Macaca mulatta: one gene and its partners. The protein of the gene in region 1 binds, or shares a complex with, the protein of each later gene. Links are inferred from orthologs where the notes say so. Each region holds a gene or a part of one and is shown in the gene's direction. Other genes may lie near its edges. The genes, in order: GNAI3, TRPC5, RGS10, GRM4 and RGS8.

Evidence for each region.
Region 2: the proteins of GNAI3 (region 1) and TRPC5 are in contact, whole or in part, in a cryo-EM structure (PDB 8GVX), measured with the Homo sapiens proteins. The link is inferred for Macaca mulatta from reciprocal best matches to the Homo sapiens genes GNAI3 and TRPC5. Residues at the interface, in NP_006487.1 of Homo sapiens: Arg205, Arg208, Lys209, Trp211, Ile212, His213, Phe215, Glu216, Glu245, Leu249, Ser252, Asn256, Lys257, Trp258, Arg312; in NP_036603.1 of Homo sapiens: Thr27, Glu32, Glu33, Glu56, Ile57, Tyr58, Tyr59, Asn60, Lys125, Pro128, Thr129, Leu130, Met131.
Region 3: the proteins of GNAI3 (region 1) and RGS10 are in contact, whole or in part, in a crystal structure (PDB 2IHB), measured with the Homo sapiens proteins. The link is inferred for Macaca mulatta from reciprocal best matches to the Homo sapiens genes GNAI3 and RGS10. Residues at the interface, in NP_006487.1 of Homo sapiens: Val71, Val72, Ser75, Glu115, Val179, Lys180, Thr181, Thr182, Gly183, Ile184, Val185, Gln204, Ser206, Glu207, Lys209, Lys210, His213, Ala235, Glu236; in NP_001005339.1 of Homo sapiens: Glu62, Phe63, Ser64, Glu66, Asn67, Ala102, Ser103, Ser104, Gln105, Val106, Asn107, Val108, Glu109, Gly110, Leu137, Lys139, Tyr140, Asp141, Ser142, Arg145.
Region 4: the proteins of GNAI3 (region 1) and GRM4 are in contact, whole or in part, in a cryo-EM structure (PDB 8JD6), measured with the Homo sapiens proteins. The link is inferred for Macaca mulatta from reciprocal best matches to the Homo sapiens genes GNAI3 and GRM4. Residues at the interface, in NP_006487.1 of Homo sapiens: Ala31, Lys32, Val34, Lys192, Asp193, Leu194, Thr219, Phe336, Thr340, Ile343, Ile344, Asn347, Leu348, Cys351, Gly352, Leu353, Tyr354; in NP_000832.1 of Homo sapiens: Pro616, Lys619, Ala620, Gly622, Arg623, Glu624, Arg676, Ile677, Ile680, Phe681, Gln683, Gly684, Lys685, Arg686, Ser687, Val688, Ser689, Ala690, Ile694, Ser695, Pro696, Phe781.
Region 5: the proteins of GNAI3 (region 1) and RGS8 are in contact, whole or in part, in a crystal structure (PDB 2ODE), measured with the Homo sapiens proteins. The link is inferred for Macaca mulatta from reciprocal best matches to the Homo sapiens genes GNAI3 and RGS8. Residues at the interface, in NP_006487.1 of Homo sapiens: Glu65, Gln68, Ser75, Val179, Lys180, Thr181, Thr182, Gly183, Ile184, Val185, Gln204, Ser206, Glu207, Lys209, Lys210, His213, Ala235, Glu236, Asp237, Glu238; in NP_001095920.1 of Homo sapiens: Thr76, Glu77, Phe78, Ser79, Glu81, Asn82, Ala117, Pro118, Glu120, Val121, Asn122, Ile123, Asp124, Phe125, Gln126, Arg128, Leu153, Lys156, Asp157, Ser158, Arg161, Arg164.

The regions. Positions count from the first base shown.
Region 1 is NC_133406.1:130,619,159-130,624,438, reverse strand, and holds part of GNAI3 (guanine nucleotide-binding protein G(i) subunit alpha-3), read left to right. Parts: intron 1-2,287; coding exon 2,288-2,416; intron 2,417-5,280. UniProt on the Homo sapiens protein: Heterotrimeric guanine nucleotide-binding proteins (G proteins) function as transducers downstream of G protein-coupled receptors (GPCRs) in numerous signaling cascades.
Region 2 is NC_133426.1:118,497,858-118,503,137, reverse strand, and holds part of TRPC5 (short transient receptor potential channel 5), read left to right. Parts: intron 1-1,353; coding exon 1,354-1,443; intron 1,444-3,721; coding exon 3,722-4,414; 3' UTR 4,415-5,280. UniProt on the Homo sapiens protein: Forms a receptor-activated non-selective calcium permeant cation channel. Mediates calcium-dependent phosphatidylserine externalization and apoptosis in neurons via its association with PLSCR1.
Region 3 is NC_133414.1:131,631,743-131,637,535, reverse strand, and holds the start of RGS10 (regulator of G-protein signaling 10), read left to right. Parts: upstream 1-2,465; 5' UTR 2,466-2,528; coding exon 2,529-2,535; intron 2,536-5,793. UniProt on the Homo sapiens protein: Regulates G protein-coupled receptor signaling cascades, including signaling downstream of the muscarinic acetylcholine receptor CHRM2.
Region 4 is NC_133409.1:148,143,636-148,149,524, forward strand, and holds the start of GRM4 (metabotropic glutamate receptor 4), read left to right. Parts: upstream 1-2,501; 5' UTR 2,502-2,617; exon of another isoform or gene 2,618-3,593; intron 3,594-5,690; exon of another isoform or gene 5,691-5,889.
Region 5 is NC_133406.1:40,135,458-40,141,500, reverse strand, and holds the start of RGS8 (regulator of G-protein signaling 8), read left to right. Parts: upstream 1-2,389; 5' UTR 2,390-2,536; coding exon 2,537-2,542; intron 2,543-3,629; coding exon 3,630-3,703; intron 3,704-5,615; exon of another isoform or gene 5,616-5,718; coding exon of another isoform or gene 5,719-5,744; intron 5,745-6,043. UniProt on the Homo sapiens protein: Regulates G protein-coupled receptor signaling cascades, including signaling via muscarinic acetylcholine receptor CHRM2 and dopamine receptor DRD2.

The DNA.
Region 1 (5,280 bases):
CGCCATGACACCTGGCTAATTTTTTGTATTTGTAGTAGAGACGGGGTTTCACTGTGTTAGCCAGGATGGTCTCGATCTCCTGACCTCGTGATCCACCCATCTCGGCCTCCCAAAGTGCTTGGATTATAGGAGTGAGCCACCGTGCCCAGCCCAGAATGTATTTTTTTAAATGTACTTTTGCGGGGCCTAGTGAGCACTTGTTATCTGTATTTCTCTTTGTACTTTTAAGCATTAAGGTTTTTTCTCCAATATTATTGTTTTCCTACTTTTCACATCATCATTCTAGCTTAAATTGTTACAAGAAGAAATTAAATGATATAGTCAGGCTGTGCATAAGGACAGGGATACATTCTGAAACATGCATCATTAGGTGATTTGTCATTGTGTGAACATCATAGACTATGCATACACAGAATTAGATGGTATAGCCTACTACACACCTAAGCTTTGTGGTATATCCTGTTGCCCCTAGACTGTGAACCTGTACAGCATGTTATTGTACTAAATACTGTAGGCAATTGTAACGTAATGGTAAGTATTTGTATATCTCAACATCTCTAAACATATAAAAGGGTAATACGGCCCATGATGTCACTAGGGACTAGGAGTGTTTCAGCTCCATTATAATCTTACAGGATCACTAGCATACATTTATGGAGTCTGTTGTTGACCAAAACATTGTTATGCAGCGCATGACTGTATTTGAAAACTTTCTTATTCTTTCAGTGAGAACTTGACTTTAGAAACGTTTCAGGATTCTTGCCTACCTTTTAATAACATATTTTAGTTGCAGGTATTGAGAGCTTAAATAATTCTACCAGTGGTCAACAAAAGTAGATTATAATTGCTTTTTTTCATCATTCATTCAGAAAGCTCTGAATCCTCTAACTACATGTGCTTACATTATAGAGATTTTCCTAACAGTTGATCTAAGTTTGCCTCTTTACATTAGTGATAGTATTTGGTTTTATAGATCATTAATGATTCACTTATATTGGTGCCATCTGCTCATCAGTTTTCTAGCCTGAAATCAGCAAAGAATATAGTTTTGAAGCAGTCTTTTAATTATTTCCCTGAACAAATTAATTTTTTTTGGAGGTATTTACAATTTGTTTTTGGTTTAGATTTAAAAAACCCCCAAACCTCCCCAACTCTTCTGTTTATTGAAAGAAAACGGAAAATATTCTTACTCACTATAGTTCTCTTAATTTTAGTAAATCAAACACCATTCTCTAATGTCCTGTCAAATAGTTAAACACACATGACCTATTAAGTTTAATTGTCTGAGGACTTTTGGTATAGTTTGGTTTTGGTATTATACAGTACACAGTTAATTTAGTATTACATTTCAGGAATTTTTCTTTACTAAAAACATTTCCTGTTCCTATTGTTTTAATTTTTTAAATTGGCCTTCACAGTTTAATTCTGTAGAATTAAACCTACTTTTGTGTCTGGGCACGGTGGCTCACGCCTGTAATCCCAGCACTTTGGGAGACCAAGGCAGGCGAATCACCTGAGGTCAGGAGTTTGAGACCAGCCTGGCCAACATGGTGAAAACCCATCTCTACTAAAAATACAAAAAATTAGCTGGGCGTAGTGGTGAGCATCTGTAATCCCAGCTGTTCAGGAGGCTGAAGCAGGAGAATCACTTGAACCTGGAAGATGGAGGTTACAGTGAGCCGAGATCACACCACTGCATTGCAGCCCGGGTGACAGAGTGAGACTCTGTCTCAAAAAAAAAACAACAAAAAGAAAAGAAAACAAAAAACCTACTTTTGTTAATGTATATAGACTCTATACTTTAATTGTCCTATGTTGGATTCGTATTTTTTCTTATTATTTATTTCTTTTTTTAAGAGACGAGGATCTCACTCTGTCACTCAGGCTGGAGTACAGTGGCACCCTGCAGCCTTGACCTCTTGGGTTCAAGTGATCCTCCTGCTTCACTCAAGGGTAGGAGGATTAGCTAGGACTATAGGCGTGCACCACCATGCTTAGTTAATTTTTAAAATATTTTGTAAAGACAGGGGTCTCTTTATGTTGCCCAGGCTGGTCTTGAACTCCTGGCCTCAAGTGATCTTCCTGCCTTGGCCTCCCAAAGTGTTGGGATTACAGTCATGAGCCACCATGCCTGGCTTCTTATCTTTTCTATGATACTGAAGATCTGATTCTGTTTTGCCACTCTAGTAACTAGTAACAGGTTTAGAATAGGAACTAATTTAGTCTGTTGATTTGCTATGCACATGGTTGGCTTCACCAAGTAAAAGTAAGTGTGTCTTTTATTTAGTTATCTAAATGATCTGGATAGAATATCCCAGTCTAACTACATTCCAACTCAGCAAGATGTTCTTCGGACGAGAGTGAAGACCACAGGCATTGTAGAAACGCATTTCACCTTCAAAGACCTATACTTCAAGTAAGTCATTAGCCTTTTTGCTAGGTGTGCCAAATACAAGTATCTTTTGTTTTAGTTTACCATCTCTTAATCAGGGCAAAATTCCTCTGGGCAGTATTCCTTGGTTTAGAAACTTAACCTATTTATCAGCATTGTTTGAATATTTTAACTGAATGGGGGCCCAAACATCTCTTGTTTCTCCAAATAGCATCAAATGTTTGTGTCCATTTAGAGGAATTTAAATTCAAAAATAAATTGTAACTTGCCTCCCAGTAAAATTTTTCCTGTGATAACTGGTTTGTTTTAATTTTATTCTTTTCAGCTGCTTGTTAGACTCACCAAAACAGATATCGAATGTTTAATAGGGTAACAATATTGAACTTATGAAAACCAGTTTTTTTGGTTAGTTACATGGTTTTGTTTTGCCATTTTGATATTAAAATAGGAATGTTTTTCTCCCCAGTGTCACTTCTTTTTGGTTTGAATTTCCCTTCCAGTTGAATGGAATGGAGCAAGTATTATCATGGCTCTTGAAGTAATTTGTGCGTAGTGTCATGTACAATTAAGTTCTTAGTACAGTGCAGAAATATGGGGATAGAGGTGTTTTGGGTTGGTAAGATGACATTTAAACAGTGATTTTTTTTGGTTTGTTTTTAAAATTTTATTTTTTAGAGACAGGGTCTTACTCTGTCATCTTATCTGGAGTGGAGTGGTGTGATCATGGCTCACTGCAGCCTTGACCTCCTGGGCTCAAGTGATCCTTCTGCCTCAGCCTTCCAAGTTGCTGGGACTGTAGGCTCATGCCACTGTGCCTGGCTAATGTTTACCAAAAAAAAATATGTAGAGACAGAATCTCTCTTTATTGCTCAGGCTGGTCTCAAACTCCTGGGCTCAGGTGATTCTCCCACCTTAGCCTCTCAAAGTGCTGGGATTGCAGGTGTGAGCCACCATGCCCAGTCCAACTGTGATAGTTTGAGAGAGAGAAAATTCTAGTATTCTAATACAAATAACTTTCTCATTAGCATTAGTAATTCTTTTTTTTTTTTTTTTTTTTTGAGACGGAGTCTTGCTCTGTCGCCAGGCTGGAGTGCAGTGGTGTGATCTTGGCTCATTGCAACATCTGCCTCCCGGGTTCAAGTAATTCTCTTGCCTTAGCCTCCTGAGTAGCTGGGAGTACAGGCGCATGCCACCACGCCCGGCTAATTTTTTTTTTTTTTTTGTACTTTTAGTAGAGATGGGCTTTTACCGTGTTAGCCAGGATGGTCTCTATCTCCTGACCTCGCGATCCGCCCGCCTTGGCTTCCCAAAATGCTGGGAGCCACCATGCCTGGCAGCATTAGTAATTCTAAAACAAGCCTCAGCTTGTCTCTGTGTTAATGGTCTTTTATAAATATTAGAAATGTTTTTTTGGTTCCTATTTTCTTCTTTTGTGACCTTTGAGATTAGGAGTAAACTTTTCTCCTTCAATATACCATGTGTTCTTTAGTTATGTTATTATGCTTATATGTAGAATGTGATGTTCGGCATTATTGCATACAGATGTAACTACTACCTCAGAGCCTGTCAGGTTTTTGGTCTGAAACCAGCTCTTACACAGGATTTGAAATCCACATAGGGTTTACTTATTACTAGATACCAGTCAGGGTCTTGAAATCCTAATACACTAAACTAGAGTTTTTCCTGGTGCAGGAAAATAGCAGTTCAGCTCTGAATGCTTTTAGAATAGACTTGCTGCTTGTCGTTAGTACTGATGAATTTATTTAGCAAGAGCAGCAAAGACCACGTGGATTATCACTCATAAGATGATAAGAATGAGATTTCTTTGTATAAGGTTTGTAATCTACTTATAATTAAAAGTTGTGATCATTATTTAGTGTTGGAAACTTTCTTATTGGTGTTGTTATATAGATCAATCTTTAGTTAGGCAAATCCTAACTGTCCTGTCTTTTTATGCCATAATCAATAGCCAGATCTAATTAAGGTGCCACACCTACTTGATTGTTGGCATGTAGTTATCTTGTTATGAAGTACTATCATTTCTTCCTTTTCCTCTTCTCTCTAGGCAAAACTACTATCCATTTATTCAAACATTTATTGAGCATCTACCATATGCAAGGCATTGTGTAATTGCTTACTTGCCTCTCAGTTAATGAGGTAATGTTTATGAAATGTTGATCTCTTAGTGAATGATATTGTAAATGTTAATATGTGCTAAAAGCCCACCTTGGAACTTCACAGTGTTGTATAGACTTTGTAGAGAAAATGGGGGAGTAAATTGAAGTTATTGGTGTGTCTCCCCTTGAGACTTCCATGGTGAAATATATGATGTTAGCCTTCCTAAAACCTGTATTATGACCCTATATTAAAGCCAACTTGTGATTACATCATTTCAGGTGTCATGACCAAAGATCAAAAAGAATTGTGCAAGATCAACCCAAAGGAAGAGTTGGGTCATAAAGAGATAATTCCTTTCAAGCATACATTGAGAAATCACCAACTGTGTCTTATTTCTTTCAATTTCTGGGCAAAAACATCTCTGGAAATGTAGGCCTCTAGTCACTATTGATCTTATACATTAAACCAGTTCAGCAGAGTTTAGCCTTTAAAAATTTTATCATTTTCTTCAAACACAGATCACAGAGTAACAATTTGCATGTATACGTCATTAGACCTAAGTATCAGCTAAAACACAAAGCAGTGCAGGTCTTCTTTTTACTGTAGGAGGTAGTTGAGGATGCTGTTGATGGAAGTTCAGCAGTTGACTCAGAATACCAAGTAAGTCGCCCAGAAGAGAGTATTGGACTAAAACTGATCTGGAGTGGAACATAAAGTTTGTGAACAGTTGAGACTTTGTTTTTATTAATTAGGTTTAAGTAAGACTTGGA
Region 2 (5,280 bases), on another chromosome or scaffold:
ACAGGAGGAAACTAACCTCAATGAAGTAAAAGCTTATCTGAATGTCAGGAACTTAGATCTTGATAAATTACAACATGACTTTAATCAAAGAAATAGAGAAGCACTTCTGTATTTTGTTAAAAAAAAAAAAAGTAATAAACCTAATAAACATTAGGGCACTCTTCCCACCAGCTAGAAAACAGCCAAGCATACAAATATTACCAACATCTCTTGAGAATAATCCTTGCAAATCACAAATAAGAGACAACCATCTCTCACCATCCTGATCAAAAGAAAACCAAAGTAGAAAAATGTTCTACAGCGTTTGAAGGAAATGCATCCTTATTCTATAGGTCACTTCTCCTAACTTTGTTCCCCTTAGACCATAACTAACAAAGAGAAGCAGAAAGTACGGTATTTTGTATGTAAACCTCCTCTCCCTACTCCCGCCTTCAAATGTTATTCCTTTTATAATAACAAACCTTAAATAAGATTCATTGTCTTCATGTTCTGCTTCATAGCCCTCAACGATAACAAAAAAAAAAAAATGATTCCTGCACATCTCAGTGAGTTCCTCAAGTACACATAGTAGAAGCAGCAATACCATTGGCCTTAAAATCAGACTGAAGTAGAATGAAAGTCTAATCTTGACACTTACTAGTTGTGTAACATTGGATGAGTCAGCCTATTGAGGCTTGACTTCCTCATCTGTAACATGGGGATAGTAATAAAACTTAACTTACAGAGTTGTGAAAATTGAGTGATGAGTATGTATAATATGTATTATGTGCATGTGTTGCCTGACACATTGCAATAAGCGGTAGCTATCATCATCACCATCACTAATACAAACTGTACTGACCACGTGCAGACTACTCCCCTGGGAGCTAAGTGAAAAGAGGACATTCCTGTATAGGAGAAGTGTAGGTTGACTATGAGAAAAATATCTTCACTATGTAATTAGTGGACATTAAAATCAGCAGACTTAGTGACTCTGAAGAAAATTCTCTCAATTTTATAAAAGGAGAATAAAACTCTCATTTTACTAGGAGTGTTAACGTGCAATCCATCCTAAAGGAAAATAATATTAACTATATGACCATGCAAGAATTATTCCACTGGAAATACATGTTTACCTTATGCTCGGGTAAAAAATTTTCCTTTAGGGTGAATTTGATTCTGACACTAAATTCAGAGACACAATAGTTGTTTAGCCAATGGACTTAACTCATTTTTTATAGTAAAAGGCTGGATCCTATGAGGATTTTCCACTGGAAAGGAGGTCTAAGCATGTTTTATTTCCTATGTAAGTTTCTTATTGTACTGAGAGCCTGAGAAGGAGATTGAATGCCTCTTCATGTTTTGTAATTCCAGGAAGTTATCAGGAATTTAGTCAAAAGATATGTGGCTGCTATGATAAGAAATTCCAAAACAAATGAGGGGCTAACAGAAGAAAATTTTAAGGTAATTTAATCATGAAGTGGTTTCTCATTTTACATATCATAAGCATCATTTAATCTTCACAGTGTGTGAGGTTTCTGGTGATGGAATTTCATCTGCTTACGATATAGCAAACCCAGTTATAATGCTTATTCTCTTAGAATTGTCTCTCATCCAGTAGACCGAGAGATTTTACCAATGTATGTCACACCACAATCAGTGTCCTGAAAGAAGGAAATCTGCTGTATGCGTTCTTTTAATATTCTGAGTGTTTCTCAGTGTGGAAATTGAATGCTTTAAATGATGTGGCAAGGATGCATGGTGGTGAGGGACAAGATAGCAAAGGGAAGATGCCTGGAGACTTAAAGATCTTCTTTACTTAAAAGATATAAAATCAAAAAATCTGTTATTGAAAACCAAACACTGCATGTTCTCACTGATAGGTGGGAACTGAACAATGAGATCACTTGAACTTGGGAAGGGGAACATCACACACCGGGGCCTATTATGGGAAGGAGGGAGGGGGGAGGGATTGCATTGGGAGTTATACCTGATGTAAATGATGAGTTGATGGGTGCTGACGAGTTGATGGGTGCAGCACACCAACATGGCACAAGTGTACATATGTAACAAACCTGCACGTTGTGCACATGTACCCTAGAACTTAAAGTATAATTTTAAAAAATAATAATAAATCTGTTATTAAATATAAGGTCTTAAGAAACTCTACCATTAAACATTAAAATTCTACTAGTGGCATTAGCCTAAAACAACCGTTTTCAACCAGGGGTAATTTTGTCCCCAAAACCACATTTGGCAATGTCTGGAGATACTTTTGGTTGTCACACTGGTATCCAGACAGTAAAGACAAGGTTGCTACTGAGCATCCTACAATAAATAGTACAGCCTCCCACAACAAGAAGTATCCAGCCCAACATGTCAATAGTGCCAAGACTGAGAAATCCTATCCTAGAACACATCTATATATATTTTTCTTTTTTAAAATTTTTATTATACTTTAAGTTCTGGGATACATGTGCAGAACGTGCAAGTTTGTTACATAGGTATACACGTGCCATGGTGGTTTGCTGCACCCATCAAACCATCATCTACATTAGGTATTTCTCCTAATGCTATTCCTCCCCTAACCCCCACCCCCCGACAGGCCCCTGTGTGTGATGTTCCCCTCCCTGTGTCCATGAACGTCTATATTTTCTAAGGCACACAGGAAGGCCATTATTCTAATTCATAGACATAATTCATCTACCGAGGGTCTGCTATGTTCCAAGCACTCTTCTACGTGCTCTGGTACAGTGGTGAGCAAGATCTAACCAGCTCCTACTCTCAAGGAGTGACAAACAATAATAAAGGGTGATGAACAATTGTATATTCTGACAGGTTAAACACAGGCCACTGTGGAAACACAGAGAGGAGGGACTCTCAACTGGGACTTGGGGAGTCAAGACAGACTTTCCAATGGAAGTGATGCTTAAGCTGAGGCTTGAAAGCAAAGCCAGCCAGATAAAGGGGAGCTGGGGAGAAGAGTGTTCTAGACAGAGAGAACAGCACAGGCAAAGGCCCAGAGGCAAGGGAGAATATGTCCATACAGGTGGACAGCAGAGAGCCTAGGAAAAGAGTAGAAAGATGAGACTGGAAAAAGCACAGGTACTAGGCCTTGAAAAACTTTGTAGTCCATGGTATGGCATTTCTATTTTTTCCTAAAGTTAGTGACAAGTTAGTAACAAGTTTTGAGCAGGGGAAGTACATGAATAAATTTCAGCTTGGCTTTTAAAGAACAGTCTAGTATGTAAGCATTCAGTTGGAGATAGAAGACATTTCATAAAGGTTTGAACAGGGCCCCCTGTCTCAAAACAGCAGTCTCATCACCTGACATTCCACTTCTCTAGTTTCACTCGTTAGAGTCTTAAAAGCTTTTTCCTCTTCAGTAGTCCTTTTATATGCAGACACCTGTGAGAGCCAGTGTCCTAATCTAATACCTTGTTAGTTAATACTTGAGCAGGAGTTAGTCCTTATGAAAGCGCCTCAACAGACTAATCCCTACTAAAGTGTTAGCTAATCCTGAATCAACTTTACCCATTGTACAATTTTGCCAGTGGCCAGCCCTGCCCACGGAATTATTAATATGTTTTTCTTGTGTTTGAATAATGGCAGATTTTTCTGGTGTTTTATTTTGTGATTTACTACTAGGCAAAAACCTGGAACATTCCAAAGGTATCTAATGTGCCTACTTTGAAATAAAGACCAAGTTTCTTGACATAATATGTCTCCTCTCTTTTCCTAGGAATTAAAGCAAGACATCTCCAGCTTTCGGTATGAAGTGCTTGACCTCTTGGGAAATAGAAAACACCCAAGGAGAAGCTTTTCCACTAGCAGCACTGAACTCTCTCAGAGAGATGATACTAATGATGGCAGTGGTGGGGCTCGAGCCAAATCCAAGAGTGTCTCTTTTAATTTAGGCTGCAAGAAAAAGGCTTGCCATGGGCCACCTCTCATCAGAACCATGCCAAGGTCCAGTGGTGCCCAAGGAAAGTCAAAAGCTGAGTCATCAAGCAAACGCTCCTTCATGGGTCCTTCTCTCAAGAAACTGGGTCTCCTGTTCTCCAAATTTAATGGTCATATGTCTGAACCCAGTTCAGAGCCAATGTACACAATTTCTGATGGAATTGTTCAGCAGCACTGTATGTGGCAGGACATCAGATATTCTCAGATGGAGAAAGGGAAAGCAGAGGCCTGTTCTCAAAGTGAAATTAACCTCAGTGAGGTAGAATTAGGTGAAGTCCAGGGCGCTGCTCAGAGCAGTGAATGCCCTCTAGCCTGTTCCAGCTCTCTTCACTGTGCATCCAGCATCTGCTCCTCAAATTCTAAACTTTTAGACTCCTCAGAGGATGTATTTGAAACTTGGGGAGAGGCTTGTGACTTGCTCATGCACAAATGGGGTGATGGACAGGAAGAACAAGTTACAACTCGCCTCTAAGTCAAGCCCTAATCATCTGTTTTGGAACTCAACAGAAATTTGTAATTTCCTTGCTCTCAGAGGTGACACAGAATATGATTCCCTCACTGCCCCTGCCCCCAAGAAAGGAGAGTGAAACTCCTATTATTTGCATCATCTTTTATAGCCACATTCTCCATTTTTGTTCTTGTTTTATTATTACTTTCATTATTATTTGCCTTTTTAATACCTGTACACACTAAGTCCATCTTACAACCAACTGAAGGGGTGTTGCACCTAATCAGCAGAGGTGCAGTTGGGTGCTTAACCCTTTTGCTTTGCTTTTCTCACCCATGCTTCCTTGAAGCCCCAGGTGCCACTTTGCTACTCTTGCTGCTACACAGATTCCTGACCATCCTCAGGATCTCATGCCATCTTCCCACAGAGCTGAGGGATGTGGTCAGCAGTCCCCACCAGCTATCAGATAAGGCAAACTACCCTGCCCATCTTTGTTGCCATTCAGTGCTACACGCTGCCCATGCTGGGTCAATGAACAGCATCAAAGGGAGGCTGAAGAGATTCCAAAGAATTGTCAGCTTGTGGTTTCTAGGTATAAGTGGCTTGTTTCGTTCTTAAATACTACAACTTCTTATTGTGAGGGCTGTTGAATTTTCTTGTTTCTTAAAGATGTGTTAGTTTCCTAATGTGTGCCAATGAAATATTTACCCCATAGTATATGTCATATCTAATAAGTTAGGTGAATTATTTTTCTGTGTTTGTGTTTCAGTCAACTTACTACATTTTAAAATTTGATAGTATCAAAATTAGTATTTAGAATTTGTGCTGTTTTTTAAAAACGTCTACTACACTCTAACCAATAGTCACCACATCTCATACATTGGCAAGAT
Region 3 (5,793 bases), on another chromosome or scaffold:
TGGTTAGAAAATGTAGCTGCCTGGCATGGCCATTTCCTAGGGCTTCCTGGGTGAAGTGAGTCACTTCCCTCCCTGGGTTGAGTGAGTCCCCGGACGCTGGGCTCTGGGAACCTGCTGCTTAAACTGCACTAAATTTATGCCCCCAAGTTTCTTCTGCTTCCCCCAGATAGCTCTTTGCTGCAGCAGCCCGGGGGTGGCAGCAGGAGCGGAGGCGGCCCTGGCAGGCAGAAGCAGTGGCCCCTTGATAAGAGCTGTCAGGCGGCATCCGCTGGAGTGAGACAGTCCCTTGCAGACTTGTGGGGACAAAATTTCCCTTCCAAGCAAGTTCCCATCTGTTTAGAGCCCAGCTAAGCACCCTCAGGTCCACCTCGCTGCCCCACTGCCCAGTGGGGGGCCACTTATCTGACCGAGTCCTTCCCAGCCCCATTTTTCTTGCTCCCTAGTCTACCCCTGGAGGGACTGGACAATACCTGCTCTGTGCCTTTGCTCCCCCAGGTGTCCTTTGTCCTGTCCCAAAGCCTGGGTCTCCCTGCTCCAGCAGACCCACCCTTCTAGGCCTCGCTGCCTCCCACCCTTGGCACTTGACAGAGCAGCTTGTCTGAGCAGGAGGGAACCATTTCATTTCTCCCTGGAGGGCTGCGGAGGCCACTAAGGGGCAGGGACTTGTCCGGAGCCACCCATTGCAGAAGGGGCAGAGAACTCAAGTCTTGGACCCAAGTCCACGGCCACCTAAACACAACAACCATTTAGCGACTTTGCTAAAATATATTTAGAGAATGAATGTGGAGCTGACAACTTTCCTCCCTTCCTCCATCCCTCTCTCCTTTCCTTCCCTGCCTCTGTCCTTTCCTCCCTCCCTCCCTTCTTTCCTCCCATCCTTCTTCTCTCTAGTCAGGACATTAGAAACAAACAAAGCAATCATCAAACACCTTTATCATTTCACATAGAAAAGGACATTTTAACACCTCCAATCGTAGGAAAGATATAATCTCAGGTAAAGAGCTGTCCTGATCCTCTAGAATCTAGAGGATTCTAGATCCTCTAGAATCTTCTAGAGGTTGTCGCTCCTGGGGAGAGACACTGGGCACCTGAGGGACAGAGGTGTGAGGAAGACTATTACACCACACTCCCTTTTGTATGTCCTGAACTGTGATCTTTTTCAAAGCAAAAACAAAACAAGCAACCCAAGACTGTCCTTACTCTACCAGCACAGCTCACTTGGTAAATATTTCCTTGTCTTCCTTCTCGTTTATGCCTGGACTAGTGAAGAAGACTTCCGACCAGCCTGTGGCACTGTGGGCAGGCGACCACCTGGGAACGTCTGGCCTCCTCTCCTCAATTCATTTTAAGTTCCATGAGAAAATGGGCCCGCCTTTCATTTCTGGCATCTTTCTCTGTGTTTTTCTCTCCCGCCAGACAACCTGGGGTTGAATCCCAGCTCATCCACTTCCTTGCTTGCTTCTTTGTAGCAAATTTTTTATCTCTCTGTGTCTCAGTTTCCTGATGTATAAAATGGGGCCCATGAGGAAACCAACTTCCAAGGATTGTTGTAAAGTTTCGATGAGACTTGTAAGTGCTCAGTAAATGTCAACTTTTTTTTTTTTTTTTTTTTTTTTTTTTTGAGACGGAGTTTCACTCTCCTTGCCCAGGCTGGAGTGCAATGGCATGATCTCAGCTCACTGTAACTTCTACCTCCTGGGTTCAAGCCATTCTCCTGCCTGAGCCTCCTGAATAACTGGGATTACAGGCATGCACCACCACGCCGGCTAATTTTGTATTTTTAGGTTTCTCCACACTGGTCAGGCTGGTCTCAAACTCCTGACCTCAGGTGATCTGCCCCCCTCGGCCTCCCAAAGTGCTGAGTTTACAGGCGTGAACCACCACGCCCGGCCTCAACTATTTTTAATAGCTATCCATCCTCCTTTCTGTGCCCTCTACCCTTAGCCTGGTGCCTGACTTTGCTCATTCCTTAGCAAATATTTATCACTATAAAATATATACTTGAGTACCAGACATCATGCTGACCCTGCGGAAGACGCAGCCCTTGCTTTCAAGAAATGCACCATCCACCTGACTGACCTTGGAGGAAAAAGTCATTTACTTTGCCTCCAGGGAGGGCAGGACAGATTGAGCAGAGTAGGAGAGTGAGGGCAGCTTTACGCAGAAATGTGAGGCCCCAGAGGACACACAGGGGCTTCTGGAAGTGGAGAAAATCGATGACAGGGTCTTGTTTTCAGGCTAGGGCTGCTGGGCCGTTTTCTTTTTTCTGGCCTTTGCCTAGAAAGTGGAGAGTCTAGGGAGGCTACAAATAACAGTTCGGCGTTCTTATTTCCTTCCCTCTGGTAGAAACTGGAAACCAGTGGCCATCTGTTGTTTAGTCCACTTAAAAGAGGATGTTGAGGCTTGTTTTTTCTTCGGACCCAAGGGTGCTGGGGAGCCCTCCAGTCTCTGCCTTTCTCACACAAGGCGTCTCTGGGAAGGCAGTGGATTGTTGGTCTTCGTGGAACTTCTCAGGTGGACCCCAGAGCATGGAACGTAAGGAATGGCCCCCACCCCTTTCCATGTCGGCAGTCGCCTTGGCCCTGGGTGGGGCAGGGGCTGGGAAGAATGTGCTGTGAGGACACAGAGGTGCACAGGTGACTTTGGAAGGGCCAAAAGGAACACTTGGCTTTCTGTGAGGCCTGTGCCCTCGTGTGCAAACGCCACGATGCCCTTTCTGAGTGGAGCCAACCCTCCGTCACCTGCTTTCCTTCTCCTGACTTGGATGCTGGCTATTACTATGATTATTGAAAAACTTTTTTCACTTTTGATGTTATTTCCTGCTAACTGCGGTTCAATCAAATCTCCCCAGCAGGGGAATTGCATGCAGGTGGGGTAGTTATTCTCAGCAGCTAGATACTGGAGCCGATAAACACTTAAGTAATATTTAGATACGATGTTTCCATGACCCAGTTTCTCAGGAGCCTTACACAGATCACCAGTTGTAACAAAATGACTCTCTGATTCCAAATTGGGAGGACGTTGTAAAAAATGTAATATACTTGATGTGGCATAGGTGACAAGAGGTTTTAAATAAGTTTTGTGGGGTGTGTACTTTCTTTGAAACTTCATTACAAAATAGAGTATTTTAAAGGTGCACGCCTGTGCATGTGAGTTGTACCAAACCACTTTGGAATTTAGGGTTAATATCTCTGCCTTTCCTGGACTTGAATGTTTAATAGCCTGTGAGTTTGAGGGAGTACTTAGGACAAACCTTCTGAGGATGTAAGTTGACTCTGCTGTTGAGGAAACTGGATAGTGAGATATTACTAAAATATTATTTGACTTGGAGAAATTGTCTATGCAGGATAATTACACAGACCTTCCTGCAGATTAACAGCAGAAATCCATGCTGTGAGCATTCATCTCTGATGAGTGTTACAGATGCCTTTTGAGTATGGATTTCTAAGGAATTAATGTCTGGAGAAGGTCTCTGTTAGATATGACATCATAGCATCTATAAATAATGCATCATAAAATAAGCTCCAAGCAACCAGCCCCAGCCATCTGCACTGTGATGCTTCACCCATCCTTGAAATAATGGCTTTTACTGACGCCAGAAGCCACATAGGGCAGCATAAGCATAAATGGAAAACGGATATACATTGTGTTTGTGTGCTAGATGATTCCACCTGGTCTTATGTGACTTTTTTTTTCCTGCATGGATTGGACTCTTACCCAGTTTTCTGTTTTTTCCCCAAAGTGTGATTGTTCTTGGTCTCTTAAAGGCTGTTGTGTTCTGGTCTCTTTGAGTACAAAGATCAGCAGATATAAAAACTAAAAATGGCAGTAGAGCCTTTGGTAAAGAGCATGTACTCTGGAGCAGGAGTACCTGGGTTTGGGCCATGATTTCCCATTTTCTAGCTGGGACCCTTGTGAGTTACTGTGCCTCAGTTTCTTCATCTGCAAAGTGGAAATAACCACATCAGTAGGTTATTGTGAGAACTGAATTATTTAATTCAGGTAAAAGCCTGGAACAGTACCCAGCACGTTGTACATCATTTGCAAGTTTTTCTTTTTTCTTTTTATTTTTTTGAGACAGAGTCTTGCTCTGTCACCAGGCTGGAGTGCAGTGGCACGATCTCGGCTCACTGCAACCTCCGCCTCCCGTGTTCATGCAATCCTCCTGCTTCAGCCTCCCGAATAGCTGGAATTACAGGCGTGCACCACCACACCTGGCTAATTTTTTGTATTTTTAGTATAGATGGGGTTTCATCATGTTGGCCAGGATGGTCTCGATCTCTTGACCTCGTGATCCGCCCGGCCTCTCAAAGTGCTGGGATTATAGGCATAAGCCACTGTGCCAACCTTTTTTTTTTTTTTTTTGAGACAGTCTCGCTCTGTCATCTAGGCTGGAGTGTAGTAGCATAATCTCGGCTCACTGCAACCTCTGCCTCCTGGTTTCAAGCGATTCTTCTGCCTTAGCCTCCCAAGTAGCTGGGACTATAGGCCACCACCACCACACCCGGCTAATTTTATATTTTTGGTAGAGACGGGGTTTCACCGTGTTGGCCAGGCTGGTCTTGAACTCCTGACCTCATGATCCGCCTGCCTCAGCCTCCCAAAGTGCTGGGATTACAGGCATGAGCTGCAGCGCCTAGCCTTTTTTTTTTTTTTTTTAAAGATAGATTCTTTTTCTGTTGCCCAGGTTGGAGTGCAGTGGTGTAATCTCAGCTCACTGCAACCTCTGCCTTCCAGGTTCAGGTGATTCTCTTGTCTTAGCCTCCCGTGTAGCTGGGGATTACAGGAGTGCACCACCACACCTGGCTAATTTTTGTATTTTTTGTAGAGACATGATTTTGCCATATTGCCCAGGCTGGTCTTGAATGCCTGGCCTCAAGTGATCCACCCACCTCAGCCTCCCAAAGTGCTGGGATTACAGGTGTGAGCCACCATGCCTGGCCCATTTGAAGTATTAACCATTATTATTAGCTAATGACAGATTAGTCTGAAAATAAATTTGCTGAAAAATATGCATTTTGCATGCAAAAAATTTGAAGATCTAAAATGATTTAAAGAGCCTAGAAGCTAAGAAAACAAAACACCAAAAACTTTTATTCAAAAGTTTTATTCAAAACTTTTATTGCAAAAATGTTTTACAGCTGAAGTAAACAATGACAACAAAAATCAAACAGCATGATAAAATTGAAACAAACAAATATCACAGGCAGGTCTTCCCTAGCTGGAGAGATCGTAAAACTGCTGGAGAACATGCTTGACATTTTTTCCACCTATTCATATCAGTCCTGCTTTCTTGTGTAATCTGTCTGAATCGGAAGCTTTTATCAATGAAAAGGGATAGAAGAATATTGGAACTTTGTGGATCCAGGTACCAGTAGTTGGGCACCTGGGAAATCTTGGTTTTGCTTTATTCTTAAGTTCAGAAGTAAACCTGTTTTGCTATTGAGAAAGAGTATTTATTTCTTCTAATATTACTAGACTGGTTGTAACATTTATGTATGTATGTATGTATGCATGTATGTATGTATTTACTTACTTTAACCTGCTTCCCCTTCCCCCTTGGTTGTAACATTTTTTTCTTTTTTTCTTTTTTTTTTTCCCTGAGACGGAGTCTCTCTGTCACCCAGGCTGGAGTTCAGTGGTGCAATCTCAGCTCACTGCAACCTCCGCCTCCCGGGTTCAAGCAATTCTCCTGCCTCAGCCTCCTGAGTAGCCAGGATTACCACTGCGTGCCACCACGCCCAACTATTTTTTGTGTTCCATGTTGGCCAGGCAGGTCTTGAACTCCTGACC
Region 4 (5,889 bases), on another chromosome or scaffold:
CCTCACCCCAACTCTTCACAGTCAGAGCACGACTCATAGGGGAGGCAGGCTTGCTGGAGACAGTGTTTAGGAATCAGGCCTTGGAGCAGCTGGCTCAGGCCAGGTCCCTTGAAGTGTGACTCCTTGAGGTCATTTCTGATTGCTTTTCTCCCACAGCTGGGGTCCCCCAGCTCCCCCAGGGCAGGGGATGCCACCGGAAGTTCTTTGAGGTGTGTGTGTTTGTCTCTGTGTGTGTGTTAGTCTATGTGTCTCTGTGTGTGTGTCTCTGTGTGTGTGAGTCTGTGTTTGGGTCTCTGAGTCTGTCTCCATGGCAAGTCAAGTCAGCCACGACCCAGCAGAGAGAACAAGAGTGAGAAGAGGGTGCCCCAGCTGGACAAGTGGGGGCCCACAGGTGAGGGCCACTGACGGAGCTCCTGGCCACTGTGATGGTCTGGAGGCCTGGGGTGGTCAGGATGTTGCCCGGAAGAGCTAGGCCTCAGGCTGGGAACCTGCGAACTGGACGAGTCCACAAACTCAGCCATCTGCCAGCCAACAGTGTTTCTTTTTTTAACCCCTGAAAAATATAGCCTGCCCAGCCTTCTGCGACACAGCTGGTGGCGGGCGGGGGGTGGGGTAATTATGGCCAGAGTGAAAGCAACACTGAGGGGCAGGGGGTGGGGAGAGTGGCTGGGTTTGTTTTATCTCTCAATAAACCATGGCTCATGTTATTGTCACTGTAATTAGTCCATTCATTCATTCATTCATTCATTCATTCAACAAAAGTATATTGAGGATTCTGTTAAAAATTTCAGTGGCTCCCACTTACGGGTGCCTAAATACAGGACTAGGTGCTGCGCGTACATTATTTCATTCTGTTTTCATGAACACCTTGTAAGCAGGGCCCCAGGCACTAGTCCATATGGTACCTCTGAGAGGATCAGAAAAAGGAACCCCATCTTTTGGGCAGATACAGCCACAAGACAGGATGTGTCACTTGTCAAGACCAAGGCAGGCTGAATTTGAGCTGCCCTGAGGCCTCTCAACTGGGTGGCCTCTTGGCAGTGAACGATGCACACCCCATACCTGTAGTTCTGCTTTGAGATTAGTGTCATAATCCTTGTTCTACAGATAGGAAACTGAGGGCCTTGGGTAATGTGACCCACACACACACGTGACACAGATTTGAACCCAGGCAGGCTGTTCCCAAGGACACGGCCTCTCCAGGAATAACTTGAGTTCCCTGCAAGCCCAGAGCAGTGCACACTTGGCTGGGCAGAGCTGCTGGGCAGCAGGAACTTTCACGGCCTTTGCTTATATCTCTACAAAATGTGTGGTGCTGGGGTCCGAATGACCATGGGGTGCACTCCTCAAGGGCAGAATTGCGTTCAGTCACGTGTGTACACCTAGAGCTGGGAATGGAGCAGGACCTCAGTCAGTGTTGTTTTCATTAAAAAAAAAAAAAAAAGCATGAATGAATGGACAATCTGGGTGCTTCCCTCAGAGACTTCAGACTGATTGGGTAAATGAGACATGTATTTGGGCCATTACATGTGACATCAAAGAGAGTGCAAGCTTTGCCAACATTTATTCACCCACCAAACAATCCTTGAGCTTACGCTACCGTTCAGGCATGGTGCCAGGCTCCATGGCCAAACGATGCTGAACGAGACGTGGTTTTGGCCTAGCATAGTCTGGAGCTCTGGAGGAGGTGGAGCCTGAGCAGGTCTTCAGGAAGGGGCAGGAGCATTGAAAAGGGGCAAGGAGGGAGAAAGGGCAGTCCCGTTGCAGGCGGTGGGGGTCTGTCCCTGTTATTCACAGACCCTCCCAGACATTCCCCTCACCTAATTTCCCCTGTAGAAATTAGGTTTGAGCTGTAAGGGTGGCAGAGTCCTGCCAGGCCTGAGCATCGTCAAGCACAAGGTAGCACTTGGCAGATCAGCTGGGGGTTGAAGTACTGATGGGGAGGGAGGCCTCTGGCCAGCCTCTCCAGTTCTGCCGCCTTCTTCCCCCAGCTCCCTGGCACAGTGTTGTGCGCCCTCCCCAGGACAAGGACAGTCACACATCATGGCTCTAATTGAAGCCACTTCTGCAGTCTGGGGCGAGATGCTCTTGCAATCCTAAGAGGGCTGCAGTGGCTCCCTCACTTCCCCTGCTGCCTGCCTCTAACCAACTGAGTTTTCAAGCCCCCTCCAGGAAGGAGGCGAGTTGGCTCTGTGGTTGGTTAAGGGATTCTTCCCAAGTCTCACTGCAGCCTGCCAACCAGGAGGCCACCTGTTACACTTTTGCCAACCAGTGCTGGAGGGAGACCAGCGGGTGGGGTGTTTCCCTAGCCTGGTGGGGTTCTTAGGTGGTAAGGGGGCTCTGTGGAAAGTGTCCCTCGGACAGGCTGTGAGATCTGGGGCAAATGGAATCACCTCACTGGGCCTTAGTTTCTCCCCTTGTTATACACTTGCACCAGGAGCAGTGGGGTGTGCAAATGAACATGCCACATGGGGGCATACGACACGTGCGCGCGGATGTGTGAGGTTCCAGTGACGCACCAGGGTGGGAGTAGCGCGCCCCTCTGCGTCCCTGTGCTTTGCTGTACTTTTCTGGGTGTGTGTTGGGGAGGCTATGTTCCTGACCCTCCCCCTCTGGGGTGAGAAAGGGTCCCCGCCATGTCCTCGGGGTAGGCGAGCTAGCAGGCGCACTGGGAGGAGGAAGAGGGGGGCTTCCGGAAGAGGGCGCCGGTGGGGTGTGGTGGAAGGGGAGCTGCCAGCAGGTCGGGTGTGGAGGGGTGGCGGAGCGCCGCGAGAGCCCTGGCCTTCCGGAGGTGGAGGTGTGGGGTAGGGGATGGGCTCCAGGTGCTCTCTCTTTAAAAGGCCGGCGGAAGCGCCGTGAGCCTGGCCGGCACTTTCAGCGCAAACTTGCGGGGCTGGGCTCGCGCCTCCTTGGGTGCACCAGCTGCTGTGGGCGCCGGGGCCAGCGGCTGCGGCTCCCTCGCCCCCTTGCGCTTCCCGGCGCTCCCGCCCTCTCCCGCAGCCTCCCCTCTCAGCGCCTTCCTCGCTCTCTCGTCTCTCGCTCTCTCTCTCGCTCGCTCTCCAGCGCGCTCTCTAGCTCGCTCTCATTTTTTTTCCTGCTGCTGTTGCCGCTGCCGCGGCGCCGCGAGGCGCCCGCACCTCGGCCGGCTGCGCTCGCTGGTCGCTCCCGCTCCGCTCCCTTCCCAGCCCGGAGCTCTCGGCCAGACTCACTCCCCTTGCCGCCTCTCCCTCTCCTTCCGGCTCGGACGCCGGGCTCCGCCGCAGCAGGAGCAGGGGTTGCCGCCGATCCCCCTCGCGCTTGCTTACTTGCCGGAGCAGCAGCCGAACGCCGCGCGCTTGGCGGCGGCTCCGGCCGGGCGGCCGTCAGCTCATCCCTGCTGCGTCCCGGACTCCGGGCGGCTCCGCGGCGCGCTCGGTCCGCAGCGTCAGCGCCGCCCGCCGCGGCCCGGGCTCTGGGCACCGCGAGAACCGTGCCTCCGGCTGTCGCCTGCCTGCGCCCCCGGGGCAGGCGGCACGCAGCCGACCCCTCGCCGCGGCTTAAACCTTGCTGGCGCGCGGTGAGTTGTGGCCCGAGGGGGACGGACAGAGGGGACCGTGCCCTCCGGCCTCCTGGGGCGAGGGCTGCGGCGGGGACATCGGGGCTAAGGGAGGTGGCCTCCGGCGAGCTCCCGCGCTCGGAGTGCCCCGAAGAGAGCCGGCGCCCCTGGAGCCCTAGGGGCCGGAGGGCTCGGGACCTGAACTAGAGGGTCTCCCCTTGGGGCTAAGGCAGGCTTTCCGGATGCCCCTGAGGGAGGGAATGGGGCAGAGGCTTTTTTTGCGGGCCCGGTGGAAAGTACTGTCTCTGCATACAGGGGCTTCCACAGGATAGAGGGTCGTGCCAGCTTTCAGGTGGGGGCGGCGGCATTAGCGCATCCCAGTCTGCGGAGAGGCAGGACAGGCGGGGGCGCGGGGCATTATTTGCACCTCTTCCCGGCAGTCTCCCGGTGAGAGGGCACCCAGCCTCGCGCGCCTGGGCTCCTTTCTCAGGCACCGCGTCCGGCTCCCGTGCCCGCCCCAGCGCCGCCTTCGCCACCGACCGGAGCCCGGCAACCGCTTGCCCGTGGCCTCGGCGGGTTGTGGGGCTCTCCAGGGTCTGGGGTCTCCCCGCAGCCCCAGGACTTCAGGGCCAGGCTCTTTCCGGACACTCGGGACCGTCCCTCCCCGGGACCCTGATGAACCCGCGCGTCTACGCGGCCGCCGGGCGAGCGGACCGGCCGTGGTCTCTGTGTGTGCATGTGTGTATGCGCGTGTGTGCTGGGGGTCCCCGCTGCGGGGTCGGTCTTTCCCGGCGCTCGCAGGTGGGAGCCGTCTCCTCCCCGCGCGGGGGTGGGGCCGGGAGGTGGAGGCCCCGACTGCGAGAGGCGCCCCCGCACCAGGGCGGTCTGAGGCTGTTGTGCTGAGATGGGGCAGCAGCATCGGCGGCGGCAGGGAGTCCTGAGGCCCGAACGTACGAGCGCCCCCTGCCCCTAGGCCCCGAGTGACATCCCGCCCTCAGACTTTCATTCCCTTTTGGAGGAGGCGCCTTGCTTCTTTCTCCCCTCCCGGCCCCTGGCGCGGGAGAACACGGCCTTTCCGGACACCAACTGAGCTGCGCTTGCCTAGCTGGGTGCCCGAGGCCACGTGTCTGTCAGAGCGGTGGCTGCCCCTGTGTAAATCTGGCAGAAAGCCCGAGGTGACAAGCAGGGAGGGGAGTGTGTTTCCATCATAGTCCCTCACCTTGTCCGTTATGGGGTGAGTGGGGGCCTAGGGCAGGCGGGGAGGGCAGTGCTCCCAGGGTCTCCATAGGGAGCACCCCATCCCACACCCTACCATTCTGCAGCGCTCAGCCTCCCGCCCCGGGGCCAGCCAATGGTGGACGTGAAGAATGCCCTCATTCCCATCTCCCCACACTCCCGGGATGTGTCCTGGGCTCGCCCCACTTTCCCCTGGATCCCAATGGGATGCTGGGCCTCAGACTGTGGGTCTGCATGCTCAGCTCCTCGGAGTCCAGAAGGGCCTCAGGGCCTTCCGACCTAAGGTAGGGGGAAGCTTCCATGAAGAGGGGAGGACTAGAGAGGCGTCTAGGCACTCCGCAGAGGCGTCTGGGCACTCCGGGGTGTGATCACCCACAGCGCAGGGGCCTCATCACTTCTTCTTGGTAGGCCCTGAGGACTGTTGAACCAGTCCTCGAAATGGGCCTGGCTGCGGTTGGAGCCTTGTCCCCTCTCCCACTTCCTGGAAGGCCTCACCAGCCCTTAGTCAGATCCTGTCTTTGTGGTGGGGTGGGCAGGAGACTTTGAGGATGGTGCCTCCAAGCCTCTGCTCAGCCCTGGGCCGGACGTGATGTCTGCTTGTGAATTGGGTGGCCACTGTCTCATGTTCCTCCAACTTCCGTCCTTTTACACATAAGCTTTTGCCTACCTGCCAATACCTTCACAGCTGTCAGGGACAAAAATACCCTAAAAGTTATCCCCTCGCACCCCACACCTTAGCCACTTCAGGGACTACCCTTTCCAGGGGCATCTGCATTTAAGAGAGATGGGAGAGGAAGATGGCAGTGCTTAACCCAAAGGAGGGCTCTACTCTACTCATGGATTCTCAGGCATTTTCAGGAGCCAGATATATTGCGGGGGGGGGGGGAGGGGGGGCGCGGCATGTAGCTCCTCACTAAGCACAGGTCCTGAGCAGGCCGAGGGGAGGTGGGAGCATGTCAGGAGTTGAGCTGCTTTCTGGGCCTCAGTGGCCTTGCGTAGGCCGCTCCTCCTACCCCCCCTCCTCCCTCCTCCCCCGACCTGCGTCTGGGCGGCTTCATTCCGTTGGAGGCGTGACGTCTCTGGGAGGGAGCGCCTTGCACAGCGGCAGGCAGCCCGAG
Region 5 (6,043 bases), about 90 Mb from region 1:
AACCTCTCATATGTCAACATCAATGGATGGGAGGGAATGAAGTTGAGAAATATTTCAAAAATATGACAAGATTTAAAAACCAATTTAGGAAGGGGAATGGAGAAAAAGAAGCCAGAAATGTCTGTACTTGTTGGGGTTAGGGTTACGGTTAGGGTCCCTTGTGGGACTTGGGCAGAGTAATGCCACAAGCAAACACAGGGAGCCCAGCAGGAAAGGAGGATGTGGGAAGGTAGTTGTTTAGAGACAGTACGGCATGCAGGGTCTATTTAGAGCCAGTATAGCGTGCAGGGTCTGAGATGTGAGGAGCTGTCCAGCAAACCTCTGGAAAAGCAGCCTAGAGCTGAAGAGGCAAGATTGAAGCACTGATTCTGGAGAGGAGTGGTGGGTGCCTGGAGAGGGCAGGGCTTCCCAAGGCAAGTGAGTATAGACTGGGAAGTGCAGAGGGGGGCAGGACAGCCCAGAGGCAGGAGCGGGGCTTGCAATCACTGTGTTCCTGTAAGAGACGTGAGTTGTGGCCAGTTGAGATGTCCTGTGCCAACTCCACCTAGCAAGTCAGGAGCAGTAGCCGGAAAAGAACCCAGAGCTCTACATTCCTGGGGCAGAGCTCTAAGCCTGGGGACTACAGAGTCCAAGGTGATGAATTCCTTTCTCACGAGCACTTAACCCTGCTTGCCTTTTCTGTTTATTTATTTCAGGAAAGAAGACAATGCTAGAATGCTTAACTTTAGGTTCAGCTTAATTCTCCTTGAAATTATGCACTGGCCTCTTTGGAAGATTATGCTGGTGTCCTCTTGGGAGAGGGGCCTGCGCTAGGTCTGTGCTTCTCAAACTGTGGTCCTCTGTGATTACTCCTTGGCATTTAGGAGTGTTTTGGTTAGAAAAAAAAAGAAAGTTTGGACTAGTTTTAATGTTCTGTTTCCTTGTATTATTCATGTCCACACACTTTTTTTCCTTCTGCTCTTTATATTCCTGTTACTTCTTTTACATTTTTCTTGTTTACTATAGCTCTTTTTAAACATTGGACTTATTGACTTCCTATGACTATATTATTTCTCCAAAGGCTAATTGAAGATTCTGATGCCTGGTTAATATTGATTAGTTTCCACTTGTGACTCAGGCCCATTTGCAGCCCTGCTCTCTTTCCTCGGGGCCTTTACCCCCTGGATAGTGGCCTGGGCAGTAAGAGATTTGGAGGAGACCTTTGTTCTACTGTTTTAGTGCTGGTAGGAAGTGTCCTATGATGGCACTACGTTTGTGTTAAAGTGAGGAGCAGAGCAGAGGCTGGAAGCATCAGGTTTGGTGCTAGATACTAGCTCTGCCACTTTTAAATGACATGTCTCTGTTTCTCCATCTGTAAAAGAGGGGTGATAAAGGTGTTGGCTTTGTAAATTTGTTCTGAAAATTAAATCGATAACTCAAAGCAATGTTTGGCATAGTGTCTGGCACATACTAACTGCTCATTAAACATTAGCTATGTGGATTCACCTTATTCTAGAAACATATCTTGAATTAGGGGAGTGCTTATCAATGGGCTTTTATTCATCAGTTTATCTGTGTACCAGTTTCTTATGGTGCAGTGTACCAAGAAAATGTCCAGAAATGAAGGGTTCTCTTTCTGCTGAAGTTCTAAACCCCAATTAGCAACAGGGTTCAAGAAAGGGGTAATAAGAAATGAGAAACTTTTCTTTTGCCTCTCATTTTATAACACAAAGTTCCCTTTCTTTAATAGAGGGGCACTGTGGACGATATCAGAAAGAGACAATGAGTCACTGTGGAGGCAGCATCAGAATGTTTATTTCATCTTATCATCAGGCAGTGAGTAGTTGCGGCAGAATCATTTCACTGAGAGAATTCAGGTTATGCACCAATAGATCTGCCCAGAAAGACTGGGTCCTGGTATGATATAGTAGAAAGAGCTCTGCTGTTAGAGTCATAAAGCTTAATTTCTGGTTCTTGTGCCTCCTCTGGCACGTTGCGTCACTTTGATAAAGGTACATCACCTTTTCTGGCCTCGGTTTTTTCATCTGTAACATGGGAATAATAATACTACCCTCTGTGACGATGGCATAGGATTGTTGAGTGACAATACATGAAAATGCTTTATACATTTAAAAAGGATGAAAAAATGGAATTCATTTCCATTATTATAAAGCCATCACTTTCTGTTGAGATTTCTGCTGCCTTCTGGGTTTCAGAAATGGTTTGCAGCTAAGGCTATGTGTCTTTAGAGCTAGTTCCTGAAAGGGAGTATAGACTCAGCCTTAGGGACCTAGAGCATAATGAGAAGACAAGCTTTCTCCCAGGGCAGCGGTTTGCAAACTTTAGCATGCATCAGAGTCACCTGGAAGGCTGATTACTGTCCCCAGAGTTTCTGATTCTGTAGGTCTAGGGGTGGGGCCTGAACATTTGCATTTCTGATACTTCTCAGGTGATGCTGACGCTGCTGGTCCAGGGACCATGCTTGGAGACCCACTACACTAGGGCAAGCAGGAAGAGAGTCCTCCTTCTGGAACTGAAGAAGGCAGTGTGAAGACCCATGTGGGTAAGGAGGTTTGGAAGAAAAAAAAAATGGAAAAGACAGAAAAATAGGGATCATGTGCAGATCGGGCAGAACAAAGGAAAAAGTCTCACTCCATAACAAATGCAAGTAGGGGGAAGTTGCTAGGTGATGGATGAGGGAGAGAGGTGAGTTTCTACTGTAGGAAAAACCAGGTGAGAGGCAGGAGCATAGAGTTGGAAATATGCATGTTTGGGAAGGCAGAGGAGGTGGAAATTTCTCATTAAGAAGTGGGGAGTGGTGTGGTTGGTGCTGGTTAGGGTGGGAGTGGAGATGAGCTGGGGGAGAAATGCCTCTGTAGAGTAAGGGGCACAGCTGAGATGTGGCAGAGAGGGCGATTTCAGGGCTGTGTGGTTTGGCTTGGTAGTGCAGCACAATAGAAATTTGGAGAAAGGGGGTGGAATTTAGATGTGTGACCTGCCCTGTAGCTTTCTTGCTCTCTGCATTTATCACATCACATCACACCCAGCAAGACAGCCCCCCTCCTCCTGACTCATTAGGAGATTTGATTTGGAGTGGCTCCTGCTGTCAGCAGCTGTCTGGGGCAAGATCTTTACGCTCTCCACTGCCAGTGCAGCAGCCAACCTTCAGCCAGCAGCAGGGCTCATTAGAAGAGGGCCCCCTGGACACTTGATTTTCAGCTCACTGGTGACTGGAAAGAGTTAATACCTATTCTTTGCTGCCCCCCGCACAGCCTCTGGGTGCAGAGGGAGGCAGCTGTGGGCTGTGGGGACTTCTCCCTGAGCTGCAACCAGAGGAGCTTCAGGTTAGTGAGGCTGAGCTCGGCTCAGGGGCACCTTCTGCATCCTGCCAATGAGGATGGGCGTGCAGACCGTGCCCGGGAGCTGAGCCACCGCCCGCTGGGTGTAGGCTGCTTCAGTATTTACTGGATGTGACAAGCAGAGAGAAGAGCTTTCAGCGGGGCCGCTTGCTGCCTGGCTCAAGTGGTGGGAGGTGTGTTGTGCATGCCTGTGTGTGTATATGTGTGTGTGCGCGCCTATGTGTTCATGCACACATGCCCTTCACTCGCCGAGGATTTGACTGCTAAAAGAAAGATCTACTTTTTCCCCAGAGCGCCTTAACCCGCAGCCTCTCTGACCACCCAGTTGGCAAAGACCCTCAGGCCATGAGGACTGGCCAAAGACAGTGAGTATTGCCTTTGCTTTTCTCTTTCTTCTCCGGGATGTCTGTGTGCACCGATTGCATTATCCATATTTAATTAACTTGCCTCTTCATGCATATTGATTGCTTTCTTCCCGCAGAGGCTCTAGTTTCTCTCCCCCTCTTTATAAATCTTTGCTCTTTGCTTTTAACCTTTGTTTTTTCTTGAGTATCCCCTCTTCCCATTATGTCTCGTCCTGTCTGCCCCAGACGCACCTGTGACTTGATGCCCATCTATGAGGGCACATGCACTGTGCGGGCAATCACACCATTGAACTTCCTGGGCTTTGGGTAACTTCTAACTCTCAGAAGTCCAGGGCCAAATGGGATAAAAGCCCTGAGGTGCTGGGATGGGCAAGGCAGCTGGGTCAGAGTGTCCTGCTGATTCTTATTTACTGGCATCTGTGGCTGAGCGCATCAAATGGGTAGTGGAGGGTCTGAGCAGCAATTCGGGCTGTGCTGGATTTGAAGGATTTGAAGGAGAGAGACAGGCATCTGAACAGCATGGGCAAGCTAGTGTGGGCTGGCAGTGGGATGGGAAGAGAGACAAGGTGGGGACAGAAGGCTGGGTGAACCCCTGCCCCAAATGACCTTGCCTGCAATGTAGGTGGGTAGTCGTCTCTGGTTCCACTTGGCTCTAGGATAATAAAGGTCCCTGCATGGATTTCCCCTTCCCCTGAGGCCATATCCCACAGCAAGAGGCCTAGGTGCCCCAAACATGACTTCTAGGGACCGTCACAGCTGCAAAAGCTTTGACTTCATGACTCCTGGGGTCTAGGTGTAAGCCTGGTTAGGAGAAAGATTAAGGAAATGTCCCTGCAGCCGGGGAACACAGTCCATGACGATGGGCCCTCATACACAGTCTAACTAATTATTTTTTCTAGTTTTCAAAAAGCAATCTTTTAATTTTATTAATTGTAGTATTATTAAAGAAGCTATTTTTAAAAAGTGCTTGTGAAATAGTCACGGTAATATAAAAATAATTTAAATGGTGTAGCTGACATAGGAGTCTTATCTATCTAAATTAGGTTTCTTTTAAAATGGGTTCTATGTTTGGTGTCAGAGTTCCCCAGGGGAGCCCTTTATGGATAGGCTGCTCTCCTCACGTGTTTCTTCCTATCAGAGGTCTTCTGCAGGAACAAAGGGTTTGAAGCACTGAGAATGGGACCCTCAGGAGAGGAAGACTGTGAGTCAATCAGCTTTCAACGTCAATGACCCCTGTCTCCCCACACTCATGTCCTTCCTACTTTGTGTCAAGAATAGGCCAGTCCCCAGACTGAGGAAGGTCATGTAGGCTCCATATGGGCGAGAAAGGGTGACTTGCATATTCATTTCTTCAGCCTGCACCTGTGATCCCTGCAGAGGAGCAAGCCTGTGTGGCGACGGTGCCTGACAAGCCTCTTTTGGAGTTCCTCCAACCTCCCTCCCACTCCCACTTTCCCGAGTCTCCACGCACTCCCACCTGGGACAGGTGCCCTTGGAGGGAGGCGAGAATCAGAGCAGCATCCAATCAGATTATTTTGGAGCAAGTACTGACCCCCTCCTCCAACCCCGCTGGCTGGTCACTTGGGCCCCACTTTAGTAAGAGAAAGAGAACAGTAATTTTTGGTTTGCGAGGCCCACGCCTCCCCTGAGGCACACGTCCCACTTTATTTTTGATGGCCAGTGGTTGGGGAATCAGGAACTCCTAACCAATAATCAACAACATGAAGCCACCAACAATTTGTTCTTGTCCATCCTTGGTTTGTCGCCCCCACTAAGGACAAGTGGACATTTGTGGGGCCTGGGGGGATGTGTGTGGGGAGGTGTTCTGCTGGCGGAAACCTGTCTGAGAGGAAATGTAGCGCAGTCAGATGAGAGAGGGTGGCCCCTCTTACAGCAGATTCTTTGATTTTAGGTGAGAGGACGTGCAAGGGTAAATTCCTGAGCCCCGCAGTCTTATTTGCTGCCCTGACGTCCCTGCAAACCAGCCCAAGGGTTAACCGTAAGCGGATGCCTGTATGGCGGCCTTACTGATGCCACGCAGGTAATGAATCAATGGCCTGTTTTCTTGCCCCTGACCCTTTCCTCTTTTCTCCACCTTGTCACCCCCTCTGCTATTTGAGCCTGGCCCAAGCCTCCTTAGCCCATGCGTGGTCTAATTGCATCTGTCCCCATAGGCCTCCTGTGTGAACTGCACGGTTCTTGTCTATATGCCTCTTGCAATGTTGTGGCCTTGCAAGCAGGAACTGCCTTAGCTGAAGCCCTCCCATTGACTGGTGAGACAGCTTGGCAGTGACTTATGGGGTGGGATGAGGGACTGTGCATGAGCTTGTATGGAACCAT